Mus musculus: one gene and its partners. The main gene of each other region encodes a partner of the protein of the gene in region 6 in a complex. Links are inferred from orthologs where the notes say so. Each region holds a gene or a part of one and is shown on either strand. Other genes may lie near its edges. The genes, in order: Sctr, Olfr78, Hrh2, Gpr21, Crhr1, Gnas and Fzd3.

Region 1 (2,528 bases), on a different chromosome or scaffold from region 6:
GAAGGCAGGACAATTGTAAGTTCAAGGCCATCTCCAGCTACCTAGGGAATAGCAGACCAGCCTGGGTTACCGGAGATGCTGTCTCAAAGCAACAAGGCTTCCATATCGATGTCAAGTAGTTTGGCCATGCCTGGGGCCTTCGAGGAGCTGTCTCCCACCCACTGAGAGAGAGCACAGCTCACTTTCCTAGGCACTTAGCTTTCCATGAAGTCCTCCTACCTCATCAGGGTTATGTAACGAGAGGGGGTCAGATGCCCTATGGCTTTATCATCTTAATTTACCTTTGTCCTGAAGGCTTGGTGAGAGAGCTATGGGACAGACAAGATCTGTCTGAGGCTAAGGGTCTTGATTCCTCGTGTGTTCTGGGCTTCTGAGCTTGTTCTTAAAAGTGAGCTGGGATTTGGAGGCAGGGAAGCACCCTCCTCCTGCAGGGAGGAGTTGGAAAGTGATCTAGAACACACTCCTTCTCCAGGTAGCAAAGACTGACACACAGGCTAGGCTTTTCTGGATGTCATTTTATTTCTCTGCCCCTTCTGGGGCCGCTGAAGTGCTCTTCTTAGAAGAACTAGAAAGACCAAATCCCAGGCCTGTTTCCTGCTCCAGGATGACCTAGTCTCCTCTTGCTTGATCTCTGAGGAAGCTCAGACCTCGGGGACAGGCCTGTGCAGCCACTCGAACACAAAATGGCTACCTGGCCGATGTCCATCCTACCGAGCATCCAACCCTTTGTCTGCTGCTGGCTTGCTGCAGCCTCAGATGACATTGGCCCCGGGGATGCTCCGGCTCTGCTCAGAGGTGCCAGCCTTGGTGCTGTGGGTGGGGCCGTTGGTGGCGTTGCTGAAGGAGTTGCTGAGGGCCACAGGGCGCAGCGGGAACTCTTGGAGGTGCCACTGGCGCCATTTTTTCTGAACTTCCAGCTGCACCTGCCCAAGACCGCCATCAGCTGCAGCAATTGCTTGGGAGGGAAGGCCAGGCCTGTGCCTGGAACCCAACTCACTGGTTGGTCCAGCTGGTCCTGTTCTGCCGGGTCCCCTTGCCTAAAGGCCTCTGAATGACCATTTCCTGTCCCCTGTGTAGAAGGTACTGAAGGCCCCCTGTAATCTGAGCACTTGTATCGGTCTTTAATTTTTTTAAAAAATTATCTTTTACTTTATTAATTTTTTTGAGACAGAAGAGAGGGGGAGAGAGAGTGAGCGAGCAAGAGAACAGATGGTATTCTTGTGAGGTCAGAGGACAACTTGAGTTTCTCCTTCTACCACGTCAGTTCTGGAAATTGAACTTGGTTGTCAGTCTTAGGGCAACCGCTCTCACCCACTGAGCCATCCTGCCTGATCCGTACCTGCCGTCTTTCAACACTACCCTCAGAAAATGAGTGAGATGTATTTGTTCCACAAACGGCAGCATCGACCTGCACGAGTTGATGCAGGTTGAGTATTCCCATCAAACCCCCGACCCTAGCTCAGAATCCCTCTGGATCTGAGGATTTTCTCTGCAGACATGTCCTTAATGGTCCTCAATAGAACACTCGAGCCAGCCTCTGGATTCAGGTGTGATGTTTGAGTTTTGGGAAATATCTGAGGTCATTCCCATTCAAGTGTGTGAACCAGACAGATTGGCCAGTAGCCACAGAGACACTTGGCTTGTGTGCAGTGACTTACTTAGCCAGGGCCCATAACTAGAGCTTCATATCCTGAAACTGAAGCTTCCGTGCAAGGCCGGGGTGGTTCTGAGTGACCCATTTTACCCTTGGGAAGACGGCACTCCAGGTGGGAAGTGACCAAGTCACACACAAAGCAAGTATCAGAGATGCCAGGAGCTTGGCTTCTGGGGGTGGGGGGAGCTGAGCTCATCTGGGTTTGCCGAACTGGCCCACAGATAAGGAGCACCCAGAGAGCTTAGTAAAGATCACTTTACCAACCTCGGCCCAGAATCTACTTCTGCTGGCTCTGTCCTGGGGATATCGCCCAGGATGTGACTTAACATACGTCCGGGTGACTCTGCCAAGCAAGCAGACCTGTCCAGAACCCTTCCCATCCCTCTCCACCGCTCTCTGCAGGGAACTTCTGCATTGGAATCCCACGGTGCCCCAGGACACTCACCTCACCATTGAGGAAGCAGTAAAGGACAGCTACCACCAGCCCCTGCCAGAAGGAATTGGGTTAGTTCATATGCTGGGTTGCTGGACTTAGCTCATACCTCCTACCCTGCCCTGCCTGAGTCTGCCCCCAAGAACTTGAGAGAGCATGAATGTCTGCGAGCATACACACAGACACATGAGTAAACATTTCTCTCTCTCTCTCTCTCTCTCTCTCTCTCTCTCTCTCTCTCACACACACACACACACACACACATACATACACATACCTTGGAGAATTCCCTACTTTGGCGCCCACATTGCCCTGATGTGCCTGTCTTGTTGAACACAAATCGGGAATCATTTTCACCTATTGACCCTGAGGCCTGGCACGTGACGCTTGTCAGAGGTGATAAGGAGCTTCTCACTAAAGGGATGACCGAGATCCCCCGAA
Region 2 (4,042 bases), on a different chromosome or scaffold from region 6:
ACGTGAGTCTCCTTTAGGTGAGGGAGAAGTGAGTGATTGAAAACATAAGAATCTTGAATTTCTTGGAAAGGATAATGTGGTAGATTTTGCATTGCGAAGCATCAAGACCCAGGCATTTCCAAATATTTTATGAGTAAGTAAACAAGCCATTGTCTGTCTCTTCTAATTTAGTTCCAACAGCATTCCTTTCTTTCTTTAGCATTTTGCTGGGCTCCATTGGGTCCTATTTACAAGTTCTATCCCAACTCAATAATGAATGCTTTTTTTCACTTTAGTGTAGAGACTTTCAACATACTCATCTCAACTGGGACCCATCACTATCTGTCGTTATTAACCACAGTGCTTAGATAACAGAGGGACCAGTCATAAATACCATCCCTTCTTCGGTTTTCCTTTTGCATAGTTTACAGCGAGCAAGGAAGAGCTTGAAGAACAATCTGCTTTTGTTTATTTTTCCTTCACCCTTGGTAACAAGCAGGATACTTCCCCACTGAGAACTCTCAGAAAATCTTTCAACTCAGTGACTAATGTATTTCTAAGTATTCTGTGTAAATTCCAGATATGTTTTTTCTCCCACTTACCTCTTCCTTGATCCTTTCTTTTTCAATTGCTTCAGTGATGACTCCTCTGACAGATTAGCCCTTTCCACTATTTATTAGCAAATACTATTCTCTGCCTTCTAAATTGTGGCACTGGAGAAAATTTGGCTTTATTTATCCCTTCCTGCAGTCCATAGCCTCTCCTAGAGATAACCTCATTATGACCATGGCTTTAAATAACCCCCGTCCACCTGATGCGTGCAGCTAACATCTCCCAATTCTGTATTGCAAAAGTTATCAGAAAGGTGAAGGGTTAAACATGAAGGCAGCAGTGAAATGTGGACCGGGCTGATGTGCTCAAATCTGCAGTTGAGCCACAGTTTGGAGAACAAATAAAAGCTCTTTGCTTCCAGTGGTAATAAAAAGCAAACAAAACACCTGTTTTTGAGAGACATAGTCTCAGTCCTCAGACACTACAACCTCCAGCAGAGCTCAGCAGACTCATTTCTTTCTCCACTCCCTGTTTCTTTCAGTTATCTGCCAATGGAATTAAGGTCTAATAATCATCTAATTAAAATTACTCATTTCCCCTCTCTCATCCCCATTTTAGATCTGTCTTGCCAGTAATATATTTATTTATTTATTTATTTATTTTGCTATTTATTTTAGTTCTCAAATGTCCAAGATGCCAGTTGGTACTTGACATTATAGTTTATCACATCTTTTTGTTACATTAAAAAATTGCATAAAATTGCATAAAAAATACACCACATTTTCTAGAAATTATTCTGCATCTTTTTTTTTTCCTTTCAACAAGACAAGATTTTACGATGGAGCCCAGGCTGTCCTGTAGTCACAATCCTGTTGCCTTGGCCTCCTGAGTGTTGAGATTATAAGGATTCTTCATCATTTCTGTCTCTTTTAAACCATTCTTCAGTGTGCCGGCACTCTCAGACCTGTCAGACTCATTTTCTTCAAGTCATAGACAACTTCATTCTTTCTCTTGTGAACTCTCCTACTTAGATAATGTGCTTTTTTTCCATTAATACTGAAAGCTGTAGCCTGTGTCTGCCTTTCCTTCAGTTGATGATTTAGACCAATGCCGTATCATCAGTGTGTTCCAAGCTGCTGCTGCTGCTGGTCTATAGTGTGTATCAGACAAGGGTTGGATCTGTATTCAGACAATCCTTTGGAAGCCTTGTCAGCAATAAAAATTGTTCATACTGTTAAAACACATTTGTCAGATCATCAAGCGTTACTGTGCTAGTCTTAAGATCCCATTATAACAACATATATATATGTGTGGCATTAATAAATTTACTTTGAAGTTACTTTTTCAGTGAAAAAAGTCATAACCAAATGTGAGAGATGTTATGAAACATACTCAGCATCACAGATAGCTGGTGAGACCCACAGCCAGTATTCTGAAATCAGTTTTCCTTAATTACAATGTTTATACTCTTAAACATGCCTTATTTCACTGAAACCTATAAGCTATGTAAACTTCTTTTAGTATAGTTTACTCATCTATAGGGCTAGATATAAACTGCCTAATAGAGCACTGGCATGCAAAAAATGTTCACAACAGGTAATTTCACTTTTTACTTTTATTTTTAAATTAAATTTATATTGATTTAGATTTTTGAAACAGAGTCTCATCTTTCACAGGTTGACTTTGAGCCTAGTATGTGGCCAAGGGTCACCCTGAGCTTCCAATCTTCCTAGCCTCATTTCCCAAGTGCTGGTCTTTGCAGGCATGTATCACTATGATGAGCTGCAAGCTTTTATCTTTTGTGTGAGTCATTGGATTTAGAAATGAGGTTAACTTATGACAAATGTATCCGCATACCAATTAAGCCATTTGACTAAAGACAGGTTGTCTGACCCCCCCCCCCCGAACCCCCCAGCAGGCAGAACAAAGTGCTCATTCTCTGTAGATTTCCTGGGAATCCATAATTCAAAAGTTTTCCATCCTCTTCAGTTCTCTATTACATTAGCTTATCTAATTCTGCACACCACAATGTAATCCTCCCCCAGTGCTAAGACAGTATGTATGGCTCACCCAGAGGCAGGGGCTTGCACTGAACAGTTTTACTTACAGAGCCCATCCAGCAGCAATGAGTCCCCTCAATCTAACTCAGAAGGTTGGAGGAAGCTTCAGATTCCAGAGGAGGGTCCAGCTTATGTTGAGATTTATTCAGCTTGTTTGGAGATCAGCAGAGTCGAGGGACCGGTTCCCAGCGGCAGTGCTAATTCACTGTGCCTCTAGGGTGTGGGCACTCCCCGAGGACTCCACTTGCCTGACACAGGCTTTTTATATCTCTTCCAGAATGTGATTATGCCTACATGCTTTATGAGCTGATGTAAAGTTTTGTCCTTGTGCTGTTTCATTGGAAAGTTTTCTTTTTTAATAACAGCTTTATTGAGATACAGTACACATACTATAAAATTGACTCATTTATAGTGTATAACTCAATAGTTTTTAAGAAAAATCACAGAATTATGCAGGAACCATCACCACAATCCAATATAGGGAAATTTCACCACCTCAAAAATGCCATAACCATTAGCAGGCCATTTGAGGTGAATTTAAAAATGAAATATCATATGCTTAAAACATCTCCTGCTATGGTAATAAGTTTACTTCACTCCATAATGTTTTTTTAAAAATATTTTTATTAGGCATTTTCCTCATTTACATTTCCAATGCTATCCCAAAAGTCCCCCATACCCTCCCCCCCCACTCCCCTCCCCACCCACTCCCACTTTTTGGCCCTGGCATCCCCCTGTACTGGGGCATATAAAGTTTGCAAGTCCAATGGGCCTCTCTTTCCAGTGATGGCCGACTAGGCCATCTTTTGATACATATGCAGCTAGACTCCATAGTGTTTTAACCTCCTAGTCTGGCATTATTCATAGTAACACTGGATCATTAAGTAACTACCTCTTAAGATTAGGAAATAACTTGTACAGTCATCTATGCATATAGATTTCATAATGATGCCCTATGTTCTAGCTATTCTGTAAGTGCTAGGGATTAATAATAATAAAAAAAGAACACAACATAAGCCCACTGCCTAGACTTTTAGAAGAGAGACAGGCTAACATTCACATGCTAATCAAAAACAAAGTTATCTTAGAAACAGGTGTTTTGTAAACAGGGTGGTAAAACATCTCAGTCCATAATTTAGGTACACAGAAAATAATACCTTCTTCTTTATTTTTTTCCATAATTTTATCTGCTTTCTATTTTGGTATGTGAAGAGGCAAGGTGGGAGAGTAACTCAGATGATTTGGGGAGCATATGTACTGTGTTCAAATTATGGTACTATTATGTTAAGGAATCAGGGGAGGTAGGAGTTGTCTTTGGCTTGTGATGCTATCTAAGGTGAGTTGACTATTTTCCCTCCCCCCTCCCCCACGTCTTTACTAAGCATTATTCACAGATTGGTTATATACATGGTTTCTTTAGTTGTTCCTGCAGTCCTACCAATCCAAGGTCA
Region 3 (4,076 bases), on a different chromosome or scaffold from region 6:
GAGGGTTGGACGCCCAGGAGCAGAGACATGTGACCAACTTGCACGTTTTAGAGATGACCTAAGATGCTTTGTGAATGGCAAGAGAAGAGCTCAAAAGTCTACCTTGGAAACAGACTGGTTTGGCACAAGGGAACATGGCGAATGCATCCCTAGTGAGCAGAGTGTGCACAAAGCTCACCCTGTATCCCTTTCACTGCCTTGGCCCAAGGCTTTATCTGTTGTTATCCAAGCCTCCGTGAGGTGAGCATGACCCTTAGGGTCACAGAGGAGGAAACTGGCTCACAAATAGAGACACTTATCTAGTGCTTGCCACAAGAACTTCAGGAGAGAAGATAGGGACAGGCAGAATGACCACAGTGCTGTGCTAGGCACTGGAGTAGCAGCCTAGCTAGGGAGGCAGGTGGCCAGATGAGCTGCCCCTGGGTACTTGAGGGGAATCTGCTACGTGGAGGGAGTTTGTCAAAGAAAAGTAAGAGGCTTGGGTCTGCACTGATTTGAGACACTACCTCCTGCCAGACACTCCGCCTCAGGTTGCACTGGCTCAGCATCTAGGAGGTGGAACAGTCTACCTGGACAGTTTTTATTTGTCCTGCTTCCAAAGCCCCAACCCCCTCCCATTTCTTTCCACCAGAACCCCTGGGCTGACTGAGATCTACCCAAATCTGGCTTTCCAGATTCCCAAGATCTTCCAGGATTTTCTCAGAAAAGCTGGTTCTTCTCTCGCAACTGGCCATTCTCGGAGTGGTCAGGTCCTGGAGGAACTCAGGTGAAGGGCTCATCAGATTTCTGGCCTAGCGTTCTCAAACCAGAGTGAGCCAAGACTGAGCATCTCCCCTCACACCATCAATGTGCACACAGGTGGGCAGAGTCTCAGGCCAGGGAGCTGCCCAGAATAAGTAGCCAGAATATGTAGGAGGGGTGGCGGGGTGGGGGTGGGGGTGGCGGGGTGGTGGTGGGGGTGGTGGCGGGAGGGGGGGGACGTGACAGATGACCATGTGAAAGGGAGGAAAGAAGAGGGAGGGGTGAAAGCGTCCAAAGAAGAAAAGGGGGGTTGGGAAGGGGGAAGAGAGGGAGGAAGAGAGAGCAAGAAAGGGGGAGACAGAAGGAAGAAGGGGAAGAGGGGGGAAAGGGAGAGGGGGGAGAAAGGAAGAGGGGAGGATGAATATGGGAGAAAACGCTGAGGAAAGGAGCGGCTTTCAGAACGAGGAGGAGCGAGTTGGGGGCGGGGACGAGGAAGTGGGTGCTAGGCGCACGCCGCCAGCTCCATCCTTGCCCCAGCCAGTGCAAGCGCGCAGTCCTAAGCGACCCGGTACAGCCGGTGGCGCACAGCAGCAGCACCAGGTAAGGTAAGGTGACCGACGCCTCCTGGCAGACGTCGCCTCGGGATGGGGACGCGGGTGGGGTTGCGCGGAGACCAGGCTGTGGCGTGGCCACTTTGGCTGCCTGCTTCAGATTCCTGCCGACCCCCGTCCCCAGATCGACCTCAGGCTGCGCTGCACACAGGAAGCACCTGACCTTGGGCTGATGCCTCTACCTAGATTTCCTCCCTGTCACCCTCAAGGGTCATACCCACCCCCAAAGGGGTGTTATGAGCTAGGCTTGCTGCCTCATCCCGCGGATGTGAGGGATGCCAGGGTAGCCTCACACCCCCGTGCCCTCTAAGGTGAATTTGAAAATCTTCTTGCGCTTAAAGGCTTGCTTTGTGCCCTCTGGGCGGTGGCGTGAGTCTCCTGATATATGTGTGGGAGCTTGGAGAGACTTTTGACTCCCCAGCACCAGTGAAGCGTCAGGGGCTGACAGGAAGGAGGCTGTCTAGTTTCTCAAGAACAGGTCGCCTTGCCTAAGTCCTCCTGGGCTGCTGCCCCATTCCTGGGCTGCTGGGAAGCGAGGAGTTCCCTGCGCTAGACTGGGAGGGACTCTGGTAGCTGTTCTGGTAGCTGTCCGAGACACCAGGGACATCTGATAGCTGTTCACTGGTAGTGGAAGTTCAGAAGTGGCCTTGACTCTGGTTTGAGAAACCCAGTGACCTTGAGCCTGAAAGCCTCAGTTTCCCCCTCTGACATTCACAGGGCAGTAAAGCACCCTTGAGCAGAGGTGTTCCCACTGGTCACTGTCATACACTAACTTTGGCGTCTACTGAGCCTTGGCACTGTTTGTCTGGAGGTCATATATGTAGCTAAGCATGAGGCATAGAACAGGGCCCAGAGAATGGAGAGGTTCAAGTCTTAGGAGCCCCACCCCTCCCCTCAGACACATGTCAAGGTGGCTTTTTTAAGAGACATCTCCCAGATAAGTCTTGGCCAAGCTTCTGCTTTCTTAATTATAAGAGAGAGTTATGAATTTCTATAAACATGTTTGCTTTCCCCAAAGGTTATCCAGGACTATGGGACTGATCTCTGAGCTGGGTTTGGGGAAAACCGGAAAGAGTAAAGATATCATTTGTGGGCAGGCCTGGCACCAGGCACATTAGGTGTATAATAATTCAGACTAAAGTTGTCATCACAGTACTTCTGGGGACCGGTATTGTTAACCCCCTATTGCAGACGGAGAAACCGAGGTTCTCCACAGTGATTTCCCGTAGTCCCTGCTGTGGAGTTTGGCCTCCCATCCTCCCAGCTGCAGGGGTGATACTGCTTTGTATCATTCTAGTCCCAGCCATTAAATAAGAGCATGAAATGCACAGCTCCCAGTGTAGACTTGGCTATAGTTCCCTCCTTGTCCCACACCGGAAGAATAGCTGCACACTTCCTGGAGGTGACTGATGGTTGTCAGTGAGAGCTGGTACCCTCACCAAGCATTGCCTCTAAAGCTCAGGAAGGAAGGAAGGCCACTGCTCAGTGTCCCACAGAAAGCAATACTGAACTGCTTCGCCTCTGCAGCTGACTCCGCCCTGTGTCACCCTGTCCCGATTACCCCCCTCCCCGCTGAGTCTCAGCCTGGACAGCTCCCCTGGGTTCTGAGGCATGCCCATTCCCTCTGTCCTGGACTAATGGCTAACTTGTACTAACTGGGTTGACTCAGTCCGTGTCATCCAAGTGACAGTGACATCTGAATAGGAGGGACAAGACAGAAGACAAAAATCTGGTGACAGATTCAATCTGGCAAACACTCCTTTTAGAGACACTCTCTCCAGAAGCCTTCCCAGTCATCATGTCCGCAGGGAAAACAAACCCAGCTGTGGTCCCACTCCACCAACGCCCCGAGGAAGTAAAAGCAGGATTAAACTGCAATCAGAAGGATTTGGTTCATCCTTGGGAAAGAAATCCCTGGTAATGGGGTAAGGGTCTCAGCAAGCCAAAAAGGCTCTTTGCCAAGAATGTTTTAAAACAAGAGTACATCCATCCACATGGAGTGATGGAGGAGAATGAAGATGACTGCAATCCCCAAGACAGTTACCAAAACTCAAAAGAGTGCCTAAATGCCCAACAATAGGGGCAGACAAGTCTTTACTAAAAACAGTAATATTGGTTGGGGACACCCTTATCCATTGCAGACATGGCATGACCCTGGATTTGAGACAAAAACCTAGAAAGGGAGGGATCAAAAGAAGGTTAGCAACATTTGCCCATGGTGGCAGGATTGGGGTCATGGTTGCTCCCAGGGCTTTCCTGATTTTCTGCAAGGAGTACCTACTTCGCTAATCAGCATGGAGATCTCCGTGGCTTCCAGGGCTGTGGTCTTGCAGAAGGAAGGAAGTGAGTGAAGGAAAGAGGTGTTCCTGGTATGGTTCAGTGGATGGGCATGCCACCTCTGAGACTTCCAGAGCCTCGGTAGACAGTGTCCTCAGAAGCAATGTTTGCCAGACTGAGTTGGTCACCATCTTGTTTCCTATCTTCTTCCAATCGCCACCTGTCCCAGTTCTCATTAACTGACATGCACAGTTCTTCTGTGTTTCATACGTATGGGTATGCACCTCCCTGGGGACCCCTGAAGGCGGGGACTATGGGACCCTGGAGACCACTGAGGGCGGGGACTATGGGACCTACCTACCCTGTCTTTTCTCACTAGTTCCTTCACATAGCTAGCATGTGTGTTCTTGCCACAACAGCAGCACACATGCACACGTGGCAATGGCA
Region 4 (4,081 bases), about 140 Mb from region 6:
ACTACAGCTGTGCTGATATACTGGATTATAAAATTGCAGATCAAGAGACTGATGGATATATTGTGTAAGAGGTTCTCAGGGGTAGAACCCTCAGCATACATGTGCTAGGGACTGGGAGAGTAGGAACAGGAGTACCTCAAGTTATCTGTGAGTGACAGTGACTTAAATACAAAAATCTCTGAGGCAGGAGGCTGTCCCTTCTGTGCTGCTCTTCTCTACTGAGGCCTGTCACATTATGTTATTTGTCTCCTTGAACATGTCTCGGGGGTCCTTACTTTCCTGAATTAAAGTGTTCACACTTCACTGAGCTGTGATTGTAAGCATCCTTTGCCCACAGTAAGAAAGCATGGATAAAAATAAATAAAAATACAAGTTGGATCACATGGTTCTTTGTTCAAGTGTACAGATCTCCTAGGATTACTACAGTTGCAGCATTTGTTTTCCTTTACTGATGATGTGAGGCTTTATTCAGGCAAAATTATACCATTCCCACAGCACCCAGTTTATGAAAACGGAAAGCACCCTTTATGACATTATCCAAAAAAGTAGTGTGTTATTTCAATTTGCATTGTTTTAGATAAGTAGAAACAAGATTGAACTGTAAGATTCAAAGACTTGGTACCTAAATATCTGTGTACTGTCACTCCACTCAAGTGGAGTACCTAACTAAACTGAGGAAGAAGGAGAGAACAAATAGCACCATTTCCAAATATTAGCCAATATCTAATAAATGATAAAGGAAAATTGAGGCTGAATATTGTCTCTCAGCTGTAACGTCTTGTGCAGCTGAATTAGACTTCCTCGGGTGCCATGTACTGTTACCATGCTTCCTTCCTGTGACACTGTCCTTTGTTCTTAGGGACACAAAAAAATAGGACTTTCCCCCCTCTCTCCTCTGGTACTGTACTTCAGCCCAAATCCCAACTCCTCCCTCTCTCCATCCCCACCTCTGCCCATGTTTCTTACTGGCAATCTGAATTCTGCTCATTTACCTATGAGGAAGATTGCCGACCGACAAGGAAACAGCTTTCAGATACATCCTGTGGGCGCACCAAGCCAGCGCCTACTGTGCCGTCGGGAATTCCTCTATGGGAATAAATGGTAATGAGTTGTCCAGCACGCTAGAGTGTGTGTGTGCCCTAGCACACAAGTTGCCCTGCCCTGCCCTGCCCTGCCCCACCCCCTTTCTTCCTTTTCCCAAGCCCCTCTCTCTGCTTCTCCTCCTACTCCTTTAGCCCCTCCCTCTGTGCCTTAGTTCTGCAGTAGGCTGGCTTTACGAACATTCCTGCATTGCAAGGCTTTCGGTTAAGGATGTATTGTGGCTTTTGTTTGGATTTCAGCATGCAGAATCACAGGTAACACTCTGAAATTGAGCTAAGCAGATAAATTGTATTAAGGTGTTTGCAGAGATATAATAGTACATTGGATTTAATGGAGAAAATAATCTTGGTTAATTTTTATCAATGATAATGTCTTCAGGATTACCATAAGGAGATTCTCCTACAACACGTAAAATAAAAGAAAATGAGGGTTTATAATTTCTTTATGTTGATCTTGGAAGCATGGTATTGCTGTTCCTCCAAAGTAAGGGCCGTTTATGGAGGAGGCTGCTTAGGGTGAAGTGGGAGGGGTGCTGGCAGTCAGAGCTAGCTAGGTTCTTTGTCTAGGATGTGGAATGCAAAATGTAAAATGCTCTCTCCTTTTCTTCTATCAGCTGTTCAGAGGAGACTCATTACAACTCCTGCTGAAGCTACTAATCTTCCTCCCTCTGCCCCTCCCCCACCCACACTTGGCCTGAAGACACTGTCCCCAGTTTGCCTTACTCCCTTGCTATGTGTTTGGTGAAACTGGCAGTATGGCTGCGTCTGGGACTGGCCAGACAACTGCTGTTGGCTTTCCCTATTCCAGGAAGAATTTAAAGGGAAATTGTACAGCAGGCAGTATACCCACCACAGCAGCAACCTCAGGAACGTGATGACTAGGGCTCCCTGGCTTTGTCACAGGCATGCAAAGCTGACTGCAGTGACAGTAGCTGCTCCTGAGAACTGAGACAGCAGCCAGGTGGCAGCATGAAGTGAGAGCCAGTTCCTGAGCACGAGATGAACTCCACCTGGGATGGTAATCAGAGCAGCCATCCTTTCTGTCTTCTGGCACTGGGCTACTTGGAAACTGTCAGGTTCTGTCTTTTGGAAGTGCTGATTATTGTCTTTCTAACTGTATTGATTATTTCTGGCAACATCATTGTGATTTTTGTGTTTCACTGTGCACCTCTGTTGAACCATCATTCTACAAGTTATTTTATTCAGACAATGGCATATGCTGACCTCTTGGTTGGGGTAAGCTGCCTGGTCCCTTCCTTATCACTCCTCTACTACCCTCTTCCGATTGAGGAGGCCATGACTTGCCAAGTATTTGGTTTTGTAGTGTCAGTTCTGAAGAGTATCTCTATGGCTTCTCTGGCCTGTATCAGCATTGATAGATATATTGCCATCACTAAGCCTTTAACCTATAATACCCTGGTTACTCCCTGGAGACTACGCCTCTGTATTTTTCTGATTTGGCTGTATTCCACCCTGGTCTTCCTGCCTTCCTTCTTCCACTGGGGTAAACCCGGATATCATGGAGATGTATTTCAGTGGTGTGCAGAGTCCTGGCACACCAACTCCTACTTCACATTGTTCATCGTGATGATGCTGTACGCCCCAGCTGCCCTCATTGTCTGCTTCACGTATTTCAACATCTTCCGCATCTGCCAGCAGCACACAAAAGAAATCAGCGAAAGGCAAGCCCGATTCAGCAGCCAGAATGGGGAGACTGGGGAACCCCAGACCTGTCCAGATAAGCGCTATGCCATGGTCCTATTCAGAATCACCAGTGTGTTTTATGTCCTCTGGTTGCCATACATCATCTACTTCTTGCTGGAGAGTTCTACTGGCTGCAGCAGCCGCCTTGCATCCTTCCTGACTACCTGGCTTGCTATTAGTAACAGTTTCTGCAACTGTATCATTTACAGTCTCTCCAACAGTGTTTTCCAGCGAGGACTAAAGGGCCTTTCAGGGTCTCTGTGTACTTCTTGTGCAAGTCACACCACAGCCAAGGACCCTTACACAGTTAGGTGCAAAGGACCCCCTAATGGATCTCATATCTGAGGGGGGCTCATATATTCAGTCGCTCTATTTTCAAGGAGAAAGGATGGCTTTGGTTCAGTTTTTTTTCTCTCCATCTCTGCTTCCAGTTCACTAGAGAAGTAAGAGCAGCTACAGACTATCCAGATAACCTTCATAGTTTGCAGAAGTTGCTTCCTAAATGAGATTTAAAATTAGAAGAATCAGGATCATAAAAAGAATCACTCTTGATCCAGTTTTTGAAATGTCATGGAAGTGACTACAGTTCTCAGATTCAAAAGGAGTAAAGCCATAGTTGACACCTCTCCCCACTGGCGTGGCTGAATCTGGGTGTGAAAAGCATCAGCATGTTAAAAATAACCATTTTCTTGCCCCTTTCTGGATTCTTAAATGCAAGTTGGAATTTATGTGCAATTGGTTATCTTCTAACAGAAAATATTAACATATATTGATGAACTAGCAAGGATTTTCTTTATCTGTGCCAAAATATAACTGTACTGCAAGTTTCAGCATTCATTTGGATAGTGAAATATTTTCTTTTCTTGCCTTTTGAGAGCAATCTCCATAGGATGAGTAATGTGAGCACGGAATATTACTTTATAGAGTTTTGAAATGAAGCAACTGTGCAGTGAAGCCATACAGTGTGTGAGAGCCAGCTGCTTTCACGACATGCTTCTGAGCATCGTGAGCATGTGTGCAGTAATGACATTACAGTGCTCTTTCTGGGCCTCTGTCTGTAAATATTGAGAATGTGTACACTGAGTTGGATTTTTTATAACAAAATGTATTTAATCTAAATAAATAATAGAGGGACAGCTGTCCAATTGTAATGTGAAAATATGTTTTTTAAAGTGACTGTAGTGTTTTCTGTTCTAATCCAAAGTCTTCAATGAGAACTGAGTCCACTGACGCAATCAGCCCAGGGTCAATGTAAACTGTCTGTCTTCTAAATAGTC
Region 5 (2,621 bases), on a different chromosome or scaffold from region 6:
AGCCAGGTACCTGTACTGAATAGTCTCAGATGTGGTGGATGCTCGGAGTTTGGTCATGAGGATGCGGACAATGTTGAAGAGAAAGATAAAGTTGATCTGCAATTGGAGCACACCAGAAGGAGTGAGGATGGGTGGCAGGGGCTGGGGTGGGTAGCAGGGACAAATGCAGGAAATGGAGGTGGGTGGGGTGGATGGGACCGGCTTTCCTCGGCTCTCTCAGCTCTGCTCTTGGTATTTCTGCTGCACTCGCTCATACAAACACACACACACACACACACACACACACACACACACACACACACACACACAGGCACGCACGTACTCCCTCTTCCTCCCTCCTTCTCTCAATACTGTCCATGGTAGACAGACTGTCCCACCCCATGGTGGCCTGTCTCCTGCTACCTCCTGAGGCTCTTACCAGCAGGACCAGGATCATGGGGCCCTGGTAGATGTAGTCAGTATATACTCCAGGACGTTTGCCAAACCAGCACCTAGAAGACCACAGAGGAAAGGGAAGAGAGGGATTAGTCCTTTCAGTGGTGTAGTGCTTGAACATAGGGCAGGGTCATTGACAGTGGTCAGGAAAGGGCACCCCAATTTCCAAGAAAGCCAGTCCAACTGACTCTCCTTCAATGCCTCAGTGAACCCGTCTGCAAAGTGGGTGGTACCCTCTGATGTAGGATGCGAAGCTGGAGCAAACTCTGTGGAGGGAGGGGCCATGAAGGCCCCTGATTGTGACAGCCACCATCCTCATCTACGCAGTTGTGGCTGCTTGTAAGGACCCCTCAAGATGGGACTGATTGTTGATATTCCTCCCACAGAAAGGAGAAGTAGAGTGGGAGGGTTAGTGGGCCCTTGCCTGAGATTCCAGCCATGTCTGCCTACACCTCTAGGTGCCCACTGCACATAGCTTCATGGTCTTAGGAGATGCTCGAGTTTGTAGAGTTAACTGGAGGTTAACTCTATGGAGGTTAAGTGCATTCATATCATAGGGAAGTCTTTATCCATGCTGTGGGGAGACTTTCTAGTGGTGCGGCTACTTTGAGGTCACCTATGCGCCTGTAAATAGCTCCTTACCCTGGCCCTGTAAACATCCCCTGAAGTTCATTGTTTCCTCAGCTGGACTTAGGTGAATTGCACCTGAGTTTGTGGTTGGGTCCCTGGCAGGCAGGGGTAGCTTGCTTGTTTGCGTTTCCCAGGGAAAGAATTCTCCAAACAGCAATCCAGAAACAGCCTGAAGCCTGACACTGCAACTGCATTCTCTGGTGTCCACCAAGAGACTCTGGCAGTGGCCATGGCTGAGCGATGCTCACTGCCCTGTCACACAGCAGTTTCTGCGGGACTCTGGGAGTGCAGCCCATGCAGGGAAAGGTTTCACAGCTAGCACCTATTGCAAGATGTCAGCCTGTTCTGCATTCTCCTGAACTGCCCTTTACTCGGCAAGCTCCTGGGAGTAGGCAGGGACAGGGCGAATCGGAAGTCCCGTGTCCTTATGGGCATATGGGATTGCAATGGATGCTGTAAACCAGAATGTGAAGTTAGCATATGTGACCCCCTGGCTGAAACGTCAAGTTTTTTTTGTTTTTGTTTTTGTTTTCTTAACACCACTCAGGTCATATGCCACTGTTTGTGGACTCCAGACTGGGACCCCGGGGCCTCGCTGCTCATCTTCCCCCACTTCTGCTGCAGTGTCAGCATTTGTCCACCAGATGGAGCTTCAGAGCTGCTCACACCTAACCTTACAGCATCCTTCCTGCTCCAGGGTGGGAGCAGGCTCCTTTCTGGGTTTTCCTTCGCTGCCTGTCTCTTGCCTTCTTCCGCCTCTCCCTCCTTCCCAGTCTCTTCTATTCAAAATTTCATATCCTACAAAGCACAGGCATCCCCATCCAGGCATTCCCAAGAAGATACCACCCCCACCCCGCGCCCACACCCTTCCCCGGGATACCGCACCCACTGTCAGTGAACTGGCTCCCTGCAGCCTGCCGCCTACCCTGCTTTGGCACAAACACCCCAGCCTGAGGCAGAAGGAACAACGTTCACAAATATGGATGATACTCCCCCGGGCTTCTTGTGCAGCCCAGTGAGGGGAAAGGAGCGTCTGTCAGTGTGAACCCCCAGTCAGCTAGCTGGGAGCTGGGGATGCTTAAGTGTGACCCAGCTCCTCCCACCTTCTCAGTCTTTCTGCGAAGTTCTCAATCTTGGCTTTACACAGTAACCACCCTGTTACCCAGGCCACACCTCAGTCTGGTAGCATGGAGCCCTGAGGTATAGAACTTTCTAGAGCTTCCCATATGATCCTTGTGAGGGATAGCCAGAAAGTCCCCCATGTGCAAGGCTTCAGGTTGTGCTGGAAAAGGCTTTGAAACCACTTGAACCAGGTTTTTTTTTTTTTTTTTTTTTTTGTAAAGCATACCTTGATGTTAATAAACATTTATGCAGCACTTACTGGGTGGCAGATGCTATTCTTCGTGCTTAGTAGGCACTGATGCCCTTCATCCCCACTACAGCCTTGAGGTGGCAAATAAAATGAAGATGCCCATTTCATGGATGAGGAAACTGAGGCCTGCTGTGACAATGAGCTCCAAGGTCACACATAGCTACTTGGTGATGGCAACAATTCA
Region 6 (3,500 bases):
AATATTGTCCAGATATCAGAGTAGCAGATGTCAATGACATCAGATGCATTGTGGGTAGGCTGCCATTTTGTCTCTGTGAATCATGGGAATCAGATGACTATAGAATCCATGCTGTGTTTCCCTGTTGGGAGGGTTGGTTTTTGTTGTTGCTGTTGCTGTTGTTCTTATTGTTTTAATCAACAGCTATTTTTTTTTTAATGTACCTGCCTGTACTAATTTTTCTCACAAGTTTGTAGCCAAAACCCATCTAAAAAACACAAACCCCACAAAAGCTTAAGAAGAGGCAGCAATGACTTCTTAACTTTAGACAAGTCTCTTCTTTTGGCTTTAAAAATCTTTGCTCCCCCCACGAAGGGTTAAAGTGTACATATGCTTGACGCAGGGCAGTTCTACCCTCTCTAAAAAAAGCTTTTAGAAAGCCAAGAGACCCTTGTCAAGAGGGTCAGGCTCCCGGCAAAGGGCTGATGAGAACAATTTTTTTCTTATAATGTTCCATTTTGTAATTTATGTTTAGATCTGAACATTGGAAGGTGCATATTTGTACTAGGCTGGATTAACTGGACAATTAGGACTTGTGTGCCATGTGTAACAAACATGTGGTTTTGTCTGTCCTCATGTGTATGAGGGGAATAATTGAGCTTGCCTTAGCTCAGGACCTCTCCTCCATAAAAAAAAACTCACTATCTGATAAATGGAGGACTAGGTTGAGGTCTAGAAAAGGTGATGGAACTTTGTTCATCCATTTTGGACAAAGCCCTAATCATGTCTTTATCATCCTTTAGTCTTAGGCATATGCCTGGAGTTAACTTATGCATTCACACGGCAGGTATGTGTCTGGTCACTCTGGCCTGATGCAAGTCTGGCCCTCGTGTTCCCACTGGGACTAAGGTGAGAGGGGCAGAGGAAACCAGGGTTAGGGTGGAGCTTACAGGTGGGAAGTCAAAGTTCGGCACGTTCATCACGCTCAGAATGTAGTCCACTCTGAACTGGTTCTCAGGGTTGGCCAGCTCCACAGGGGGCACCAGGTTGCTCATGGCGGCCACAATGGTCTGAAAACAGTTTAGCAAATTGGTCAGGCGTGGGGGTGGGGGGGGCAGCACCGTGGGGCGAGGGGCTTGCTAAAAGATAAGAGCAAGGAGCTAGACACATACTTCAATGGCCTCCTTCAGGTTGTTTTTGATGTCCTGCACTTTAGTGGCCTTCTCACTACAGTGGGATTGAAAGGAAAAAAAAAAGAAAATCATATTGCATCCTGCCCACCAGGGTGTTATCGTCATTGAGACACGTCAACTAAAAAGCATAGTATTCTGTTTTCCAAGGAATTGTGGGCTAGATCTATAGATTGAAGGCATCCAAATAAAAATAAATCATAATTTCCCAATCATGTCCTGAGGACAGGCCTGATAAGGCTGGGTTAGAGACATGGCATCGAGATCTTGATTAACTGGACCAGAAATTGCACCTGGTCTACTGTCCATTCCAACCACACCCTGCTGCTTCCTGCGTGGCTCTTGATTAGCACAGGGAGGGTTGTATGGAGGTAGGGTTAGTACATGCTGAACTTGGGATTCAGTAGTTTGTGAGACCCAGAGGTGACAAGTGTTTATTATTGATATTAGGGTTTTCCATTTCCATATTTGTAGATCTAATTATTTAAGTATCTATGCATCTGTCACCAGGGAGGGAAGATGTTGTTTGGGGTTCTGTGGCTCACAGCACTTTTGAACAGGCCCCCAGTTGTGGCTAGGAGTCCTGGGTCCCCACATTGTTGGTGGGCATTGGGTTCATGGATACTGGAGGAGGAGTTGGCTAGATGTTTGCTTATTTAAACCAGCCTCTGGGATAACTTCTGTGGCCTTTCTGGGATGATTTGTATGCAGTCAGAGTCAGCGATCCCACAGGTCACAGGTCACATCTTCTGGTTTTGGGGGTGGATGGTGTCCCCCCCAGAAGGAATGCTAATTTATGGAGGTTACAGTGGTTCAAAATGCTGTGTCTTTTAGGAGACAGCCTATATGCCAGGCACAGCCATAGAGAATCTCGAGCTTGTACTTAGGGGAGCAGCAAAGCCCCACTTCCCTGCTTGGAGCAGACTCCATTTTGTCTGAGCCTAATCTTCTGCATGGCCAATGGGGGATTAGAAGACCAGCATGCACTGCACCCTCAGGGTGAGGCCTGGTAGCACAGAACAGGGCATTGGAGAGGAACAGACCCTTTCTGATAAGGAAACTGAGGTAGAGGACTAGGTGGCAGTGACAGAGGTAGGGCAGAGGTGCTTTTACTGACATTAAATTGAAGTCACAAGATAGCGAAAGTTAAATCACGCCCCCTCCCCATGGAACAGGGTAGAAAATTAATTAGTAAAGTTGCAAGATGGGGACCAGAGGCTACTATAGCCAGGAGGGGTGGCAGGCAGGCCTCAGGTGGAGATCTGGGGGGCCATGTGCCTGACAGAGGTGTAGAGATCTTGGGGCATGTGGATACCTGCCAATAGGGTGGGGTTCTGGGGGGTCATGTGGATATCTGCCAATGGAGTGGGGGTCATGTGGATACCCACCAATGGGGTGGGGGTCTGGAGGATCATGTGGATATCTGCCAATGGAGTGGGGGTCTGGGGGTCATGTGGATACCCACCAATGGGGTGGGGGTCTGGAGGATCATGTGGATATCTGCCAATGGGGTGGAGGTCTGGGAGGCATGTGGATATCTGCCAATGGGGTGGGGTTCTGGGAGTCATGTGGATACCCACCAACGGGGTGAGGGCCTGGGGGTCATGTGGATATCTGCCAATGGGGTGGGGGTCTGAGGGATCATGTGGATATCTGCCAATGGGGTGGGGTCTGGGAGGCATGTAGATATCTGCTAATGGGGTGGGGTCTGGGAGGCATGTAGATCTCCTAATAGGGTAGGGGTCTGGGAGGCATGTGCATTCCTGCCAATGGGGTGGGGGTCTGGGGGTCATATGTATACCCACCAATGGGGTGGGAGTCCGTGAGGCCATGTGCATACCCACCAATAGGGTGGAGACTTGGGGGACATGGGGATACCTGCCAATAGAGTAGGGGTCTGGCATCATGTGGATACCCACCAAAGGGATGGGAATCTGGAGGTGCCCACCAATAGTGGTGATCTGGGGGTTTCTGGGGTACCCACCAAGAGTGGGGGTCTGGGGGTCATGTGCATGCCTGTAAGTTGGGTGGGGTTCTGGGGTCATGTGCATGCCTGCAAATTGGTTGGGGGTCTGAGGCCATGTGAGTGCCTGCCAATAGAGTGGGAATATGGGGGTCATGTTCATGCCCACCAATAGGACCACACCCAAAGAACCCATTCTTTCAACAAAGACTTATCATAGCTGATATTTGGGGCTTTCTTTCCATGCAGGCTTGTGTATTTTGGGAGGGGCCCTGTGTTCTGAATGATCTCACTATATATTTTTTATTGGTGTCCATCTCTTAGGTGAGGGCCTGCAAGGTTTAGAGGTTGGGGGTGTTCTCAACAGG
Region 7 (4,152 bases), on a different chromosome or scaffold from region 6:
ATGCTGATTTGCCTGGAATGGCCCTAAGAATCAACATTATTGTCCTGAAAATGTTGCTGCACAAGTGCCAATAAGGAAAGTGGAAATTGCTATTTCAGATTTTGTTTATCACGCTGGCCTATCAAATTCTGTCAATTCTGATGTGAGACTGACCTGAGCACAAGACTTTTCAGCATTCACTAAATTACCTGAGAACCTTTTAAAAATTATATCTGACTCTGTCTCTTGTTATCTGTCTCTCTGTACACCTATGGGCCAGAGGTCAACTACAGGTGTGTTAGTCAGTTGCTCTCCACCTAGTTTTTTGAGACAAATCTTTCACTGGCCTGGGGATTCACCAAATGGGCTAGGCTGAGTGACTAGCTAGCCCCAGGACCCACCCTGGCTCCACCTCCCCAGCACTGGGACCACAAGTGCCTGCTATTAGGACTGATTTTGTTGTTGTTATTTTGTTGTTGTTGTTGTTTTGTGGGTTCTGGGGATGTAACTCAGGTTCTTCCGCTTGTATAGCAAATGTTTTACCAACAGAACTGTATCTTCAGCCCATATGTTCTCACCGTAGCCATTTATAAACATAAGGGTCAGTAGTGTCAAGTACAATCACTTGCAACAGGGCCAACGTTGCTGTATGTCCTGTGAGCTACCAAGAGAACCAAATGAAGCCATGGACTCTAAGTTGAAGATGGACAAAAAGAAAGATAGGTAAAACCCTGTAACAAAGAGAAACGCAATCACGATTAATTGAATACAGGCTCTTCCATTAAAATGCTGTGTGACTAAGTAAGACATCCAACCTTTCTGAGAGTTCTTCTCCCTGTTGGGAAAAAATAAAATTGTGTTTAGATGACCTCTAAAGAAATCTTTCAGCTCCTCAAGCCGTGCATATAGCAAAGGGAGTGGGGAGCCCTCTAAGCGGAAGATGAGGCATGTCACCAGCGAGCACAAGCTCCGTCTGTTTATAGTAAGGTCTCGGTGGAGAGGACGCGAAGTGTGCACCTGCTTCGCCGGTCAGAGTGCAGCGTTGCAACAGACCGGGTGTCCCTTGCTACCTGTGCGCGGCACTACCCTTCACCGTGAGTCCCCGAGGTCCGAGGTTGGCACACTGGCTTCCGCACTGGACCCGCACTGAGAACTTGGCTCAGGCGGACTTTGCAAGAAGGACTGGGCACATGTTGGATGAATGCCTCCAGCGCTGGGAACCACCAAACCGACGCGCGGCGCTCAAGACGTCACTATCACCTAGGACGCCAGGCTGAGAACAACGAAGCCGGTCAGCGCTGCACAGCCAGGAGCTGGATAGGAGGCTGACCGTAGCGCGCATGCGCGGCACGTGCGCGCGCACCTCCCTCCCCGGGCCGCGCGCCTCGACGCTCGCGAAGGCTCGGCGCGCCTGCGGTCCTCGGCCGCTCGGGGAACCTGAGGGACGCGCGGCTGCCTGCGGGGCCAGCGGCGCTGCCCGGGAGAGCCCGGAGGCCGGCGGTGAGGTGAGTCGTGCGGCCGACGTTTCCTCCGGGGCCGGGAGGGCGGGAGAGGAGCGTTGCGTGTGGAGAGCGCCGAGGCGCCTGCCCCAGCCCAGCCGCCCCTCGTCAGGCGGCGCTCGCTGCTCGCGTCGCGGCCGAACAAAAGCCCGAGGCCGGCGCTGCCGAGGCGGGCGCGGAGCTGCGGCTGGCGAGCGGCCCGGCCGGAGCCGGGTCGGAGTGGGCGGCGCGGAGTTCGGGGCCGCGGCCGCTCTAAGCGAGGATGCCCTGGGAAAGCGGCGGGGCCGGTACGTCCCGCCCGCGCCGGGCAACCTGTGCGAGTGTGGACGCGGCGGGTCCCCGCGCCGGTCGCCTGCGGGGAGCGAGGCCGGGCCCAGCCGGTTTCTGCGCTCGGCGCCGCGGGGGCGTGGGCGGGAGGACGATGCGCCGAGCTCCGGCGCCGCTGCTTCCCTGCAGCCCCCGGCCGACCCCTGACACCCAGCGCCCAAAAGTTGTCCCTTGCTGCCCATCAGTTTGCAAAGTCGGAGGCTCCCAGCGCCGCGCGCTCCCCAGGTACCCCCGCGGTGGGGACTCGGGGTCGGCAGATTTGCCCTGGGATGCGGCGTGAATTCCTAGCCTCTGGAATAAAGGCACTGAGATGCGGGTAACGTTAAGGTTGTAAACATCCCATAGGCTTTTCGCATCTTGGGACTCTTGGAGGTAGGGACTTCCTCAAGGGAAGAGGAGAGGGCTTTTTCATTTTTCTTTTCTCCTCCCTTTTCCTATTCTTTCCCTCTTGTGGGTAGAAAAAGAACAAAAGCACATGCCATTAATTAGGCAGAAGAGACTTAAAGTTGAAAAACGTCTCGAGAGGTCTGGGTTTTCGCCCAATGATAGAATCACAATTTTTAGCTCCCTTCTGAATTTCTCAGACTGCCGAACAGACGCACCAGCTTAAATCTCACGGTGGGAAAGTCCTTCAGTACATCCAGAATGTTTGTTGATGGGAATTGGGTTGCTTTGCAAAACCAGTACATGAGAGCAGGGAAACAAAGACCAGCTGGGCTTAAGGATGCCACCTCCCTTCTCAGCCTGCTTTGGTCCTCGGTGGTCTACTGGGCATAATGGGCTAGAAGAGGACTAGATAAATCTAGTTGTGTATTAAGAAGCGGGTACTCAAGTTGTGCATGATAATGGCTCATGCCTGTAATTTGAGTAATCGGAAACTAAAGCAAGAGAATCTCCGAAAGTTACAGGCCAGAATAGGCTGTGTAGTGGACCACTTTCTCAAAAAGAAAGGAGGCGATAAGACCTTACATTCTCTCTCTACCTTTAAACAAATCAGTGTCGTCGTCGTCGTCCCCCCTCCACCCCCGAAACAACACATTTTCTTGAACCACAGCATAAAGGTAAAAAGATTCAGGGTTAAGGAGCCAGGGAAAGGAGTGTAAATATTTGGAAGGATAAAACCGAGATAAACTATAACCCGGTTGCAGCTCTTCCCTAGACTTAGTAAAACAGTGGGTAGTGTTGATCTGTCTGCCCCCAAATGCTTTGAAACTGTTAGCAAAATAGGCATATTTTTAAATAAAGTCTAGAATTCTCTTTCATCTTTCCTGTTTTTTTTTCCTTTTGTCTAGTGATAATGTGCCTCTCATCTCTTAAAAGGCTAGTAAGGGTCCATTAATAGAAGAGAAAGTGACTGTGGCCTTCTCGTCCGTTTCCCCCCAGATTTCTATGAACTTTATTTTCTGTTTTGGGTCTTCAAGTGGATGGTTGTTTTGTTTTGTTTTGTTTTAATTTGTTTTGTTTTGTTTTAATTCCATGCTTGAGATATTTGAAGTAGAAAGGGTTGAGAGGAATTTAATAGTGATGTGTATAATACAGTGTAAGTCTTTGTATAATACAGCATGAAACCTTTATTGTGTGGGAAGAAGAGAGGAGGGGGTTCTGCTTACAAAAGAGTGTTTCCCTGCTTGACCTCTGGGAGCTGGGAATCTACCCCACTTATGTTTTATATTAGTTTGTTACTAACACTCTACAATGATTTTGTATGTAAAACTGAGCATGAAATCAGGTGTGGTGGCACACACCTTTTATCCCATCACTTAAAGGAGAATCTCTGTGAATTCAAGGCTGGCTTGGTTTACATAGCCAGTTCCAGGACACCCAGGACTGCATAGAGAAACCTCTTCTCAAATAAAAAAAACCCAAAACCAAAAAAACCCAAAGCCTTCTGAGCATCTTGGTATATTGATTGTTCTTAGGAGGCAGGTGGTAGGTAGCAGTTCTTAGCACATCATTATCTTCATTCAGTAGAGATCTGTGCAGAGAGATACAGTAAGGTTCTGAGGAAAGAAAAGGAGTTTTCAGTGGTGGTACTTGTAAGGCTGGGAATAACAACTCTTCATTGGCTCGAAGAGACGTTTAGCTGCTGTTTCAGAAATGGTCTCCCTCTCCAATTTCTAGTTTATCATTCTGGGAACCACTAGCTTCAGTGCATCCAGGGAATGCACTATAAATGAAGCTTTTGAAGACTACAACTCAGGGAGTGAGCTTAATACATTCCAGTCTCCCCCTCATTATGTCTCACCAAAACAGTACTTTACTGAAAGCACACAAAGCATATGGTTTTGCTAAGGGAAAAACACGAGCACTTGCTATTTCCTCACAAAAGCTCAGAGTTCTTGGACCA

What was found.
Region 1: the proteins of Gnas (region 6) and Sctr are in contact, whole or in part, in a cryo-EM structure (PDB 6WZG), measured with the Homo sapiens proteins. The link is inferred for Mus musculus from reciprocal best matches to the Homo sapiens genes GNAS and SCTR. Residues at the interface, in NP_000507.1 of Homo sapiens: Gln35, His41, Val217, Phe219, Thr350, Tyr358, Phe376, Cys379, Arg380, Asp381, Ile383, Gln384, Arg385, His387, Leu388, Gln390, Tyr391, Glu392, Leu393, Leu394; in NP_002971.2 of Homo sapiens: Arg174, His178, Tyr239, Leu240, Leu243, Leu244, Ala245, Ser247, Phe248, Ser250, Glu251, Arg252, Leu320, Lys323, Thr326, Gln327, Thr329, Arg339, Arg342, Ser343, Leu347, Tyr388, Leu391, Asn392, Gly393.
Region 2: the proteins of Gnas (region 6) and Olfr78 are in contact, whole or in part, in a cryo-EM structure (PDB 8F76), measured with the Homo sapiens proteins. The link is inferred for Mus musculus from reciprocal best matches to the Homo sapiens genes GNAS and OR51E2. Residues at the interface, in NP_000507.1 of Homo sapiens: Gln31, Gln35, Arg38, His41, Asp215, Val217, Phe219, Tyr358, Phe376, Cys379, Arg380, Ile383, Gln384, Arg385, His387, Leu388, Arg389, Gln390, Tyr391, Glu392, Leu393, Leu394; in NP_110401.1 of Homo sapiens: Met58, Tyr59, Asp120, Arg121, Ala124, Ile125, Cys126, His127, Pro128, Leu129, Arg130, His131, Ala132, Leu135, Asn136, Asn137, Ile220, Thr223, Val224, Leu227, Pro228, Ser229, Glu232, Lys235, Ala236, Thr239, Cys240, Lys294, Thr295, Lys296.
Region 3: the proteins of Gnas (region 6) and Hrh2 are in contact, whole or in part, in a cryo-EM structure (PDB 9IXJ), measured with the Homo sapiens proteins. The link is inferred for Mus musculus from reciprocal best matches to the Homo sapiens genes GNAS and HRH2. Residues at the interface, in NP_000507.1 of Homo sapiens: Gln35, Arg38, Ala39, His41, Asp215, Lys216, Val217, Asp343, Leu346, Arg347, Thr350, Tyr358, Phe376, Arg380, Asp381, Ile383, Gln384, Arg385, His387, Leu388, Arg389, Gln390, Tyr391, Glu392, Leu393, Leu394; in XP_006714928.1 of Homo sapiens: Arg116, Ala119, Val120, Met121, Pro123, Leu124, Arg125, Tyr126, Pro127, Val128, Ile205, Val208, Ala209, Gln212, Ala213, Arg215, Ile216, Ile219, Ser220, Trp222, Lys223, Lys231, Ala232, Thr235, Leu236, Leu291, Asn292, Arg293, Asp294, Arg296.
Region 4: the proteins of Gnas (region 6) and Gpr21 are in contact, whole or in part, in a cryo-EM structure (PDB 8HMV), measured with the Homo sapiens proteins. The link is inferred for Mus musculus from reciprocal best matches to the Homo sapiens genes GNAS and GPR21. Residues at the interface, in NP_000507.1 of Homo sapiens: Gln35, Arg38, His41, Val217, Pro321, Asp323, Arg342, Asp343, Leu346, Arg347, Thr350, Tyr358, Cys359, Pro361, Phe376, Cys379, Arg380, Asp381, Ile383, Gln384, Arg385, His387, Leu388, Gln390, Tyr391, Glu392, Leu393, Leu394; in NP_005285.1 of Homo sapiens: His61, His62, Thr64, Arg127, Ala130, Ile131, Thr132, Pro134, Leu135, Thr136, Tyr137, Asn138, Thr142, Pro143, Ile214, Ile217, Cys218, His221, Thr222, Asp224, Ile225, Arg228, Gln229, Arg231, Phe232, Arg249, Tyr250, Val253, Leu254, Asn308.
Region 5: the proteins of Gnas (region 6) and Crhr1 are in contact, whole or in part, in a cryo-EM structure (PDB 6P9X), measured with the Homo sapiens proteins. The link is inferred for Mus musculus from reciprocal best matches to the Homo sapiens genes GNAS and CRHR1. Residues at the interface, in NP_000507.1 of Homo sapiens: Gln35, Arg38, Ala39, His41, Val217, Phe219, Phe376, Cys379, Arg380, Asp381, Ile383, Gln384, Arg385, His387, Leu388, Gln390, Tyr391, Glu392, Leu393, Leu394; in NP_004373.2 of Homo sapiens: Arg151, His155, Tyr212, Leu213, Ala216, Ile217, Leu219, Thr220, Tyr221, Asp224, Arg227, Ile290, Ile293, Leu294, Lys297, Leu298, Ala300, Ser301, Lys311, Lys314, Ala315, Val318, Leu319, Leu322, Phe362, Tyr363, Asn367, Ser368, Glu369.
Region 7: the proteins of Gnas (region 6) and Fzd3 are in contact, whole or in part, in a cryo-EM structure (PDB 8JHI), measured with the Homo sapiens proteins. The link is inferred for Mus musculus from reciprocal best matches to the Homo sapiens genes GNAS and FZD3. Residues at the interface, in NP_000507.1 of Homo sapiens: Lys34, Tyr358, Gln384, His387, Leu388, Tyr391, Glu392, Leu393, Leu394; in NP_001399840.1 of Homo sapiens: Arg232, Lys318, Ser321, Glu322, Leu397, Val400, Lys408, Lys413, Leu414, Phe417.

The regions. Positions count from the first base shown.
Region 1 is NC_000067.6:120,061,507-120,064,034, reverse strand, and holds the end of Sctr (secretin receptor isoform 1 precursor), read right to left. Parts: intron 2,142-2,528; coding exon 2,100-2,141; intron 1,409-2,099; coding exon of another isoform or gene 1,253-1,408; exon of another isoform or gene 924-1,252; coding exon 753-923; 3' UTR 501-752; downstream 1-500.
Region 2 is NC_000073.6:102,756,672-102,760,713, forward strand, and holds the start of Olfr78 (olfactory receptor 51E2), read right to left. Parts: upstream 2,801-4,042; 5' UTR 2,639-2,800; intron 1-2,638. UniProt on the Homo sapiens protein: Olfactory receptor. Activated by the odorant, beta-ionone, a synthetic terpenoid. The activity of this receptor is probably mediated by G-proteins leading to the elevation of intracellular Ca(2+), cAMP and activation of the protein kinases PKA and MAPK3/MAPK1.
Region 3 is NC_000079.6:54,190,853-54,194,928, forward strand, and holds the start of Hrh2 (histamine H2 receptor), read left to right. Parts: upstream 1-1,276; 5' UTR 1,277-1,341; intron 1,342-4,076. UniProt on the Homo sapiens protein: The H2 subclass of histamine receptors mediates gastric acid secretion. Also appears to regulate gastrointestinal motility and intestinal secretion. Possible role in regulating cell growth and differentiation.
Region 4 is NC_000068.7:37,515,345-37,519,425, forward strand, and holds Gpr21 (probable G-protein coupled receptor 21), read left to right. Parts: upstream 1-1,281; 5' UTR 1,282-1,355; intron 1,356-1,714; 5' UTR 1,715-2,099; coding exon 2,100-3,149; 3' UTR 3,150-3,937; downstream 3,938-4,081. UniProt on the Homo sapiens protein: Orphan receptor.
Region 5 is NC_000077.6:104,170,781-104,173,401, reverse strand, and holds part of Crhr1 (corticotropin-releasing factor receptor 1 isoform 1 precursor), read right to left. Parts: intron 492-2,621; coding exon 419-491; intron 97-418; coding exon 11-96; intron 1-10.
Region 6 is NC_000068.7:174,339,359-174,342,858, reverse strand, and holds part of Gnas (protein GNAS), read right to left. Parts: intron 1,210-3,500; coding exon of another isoform or gene 1,207-1,209; coding exon 1,152-1,206; intron 1,050-1,151; coding exon 930-1,049; intron 1-929. UniProt on the Homo sapiens protein: Guanine nucleotide-binding proteins (G proteins) function as transducers in numerous signaling pathways controlled by G protein-coupled receptors (GPCRs).
Region 7 is NC_000080.6:65,259,664-65,263,815, reverse strand, and holds the start of Fzd3 (frizzled-3 precursor), read left to right. Parts: upstream 1-1,352; 5' UTR 1,353-1,484; intron 1,485-4,152. UniProt on the Homo sapiens protein: Receptor for Wnt proteins.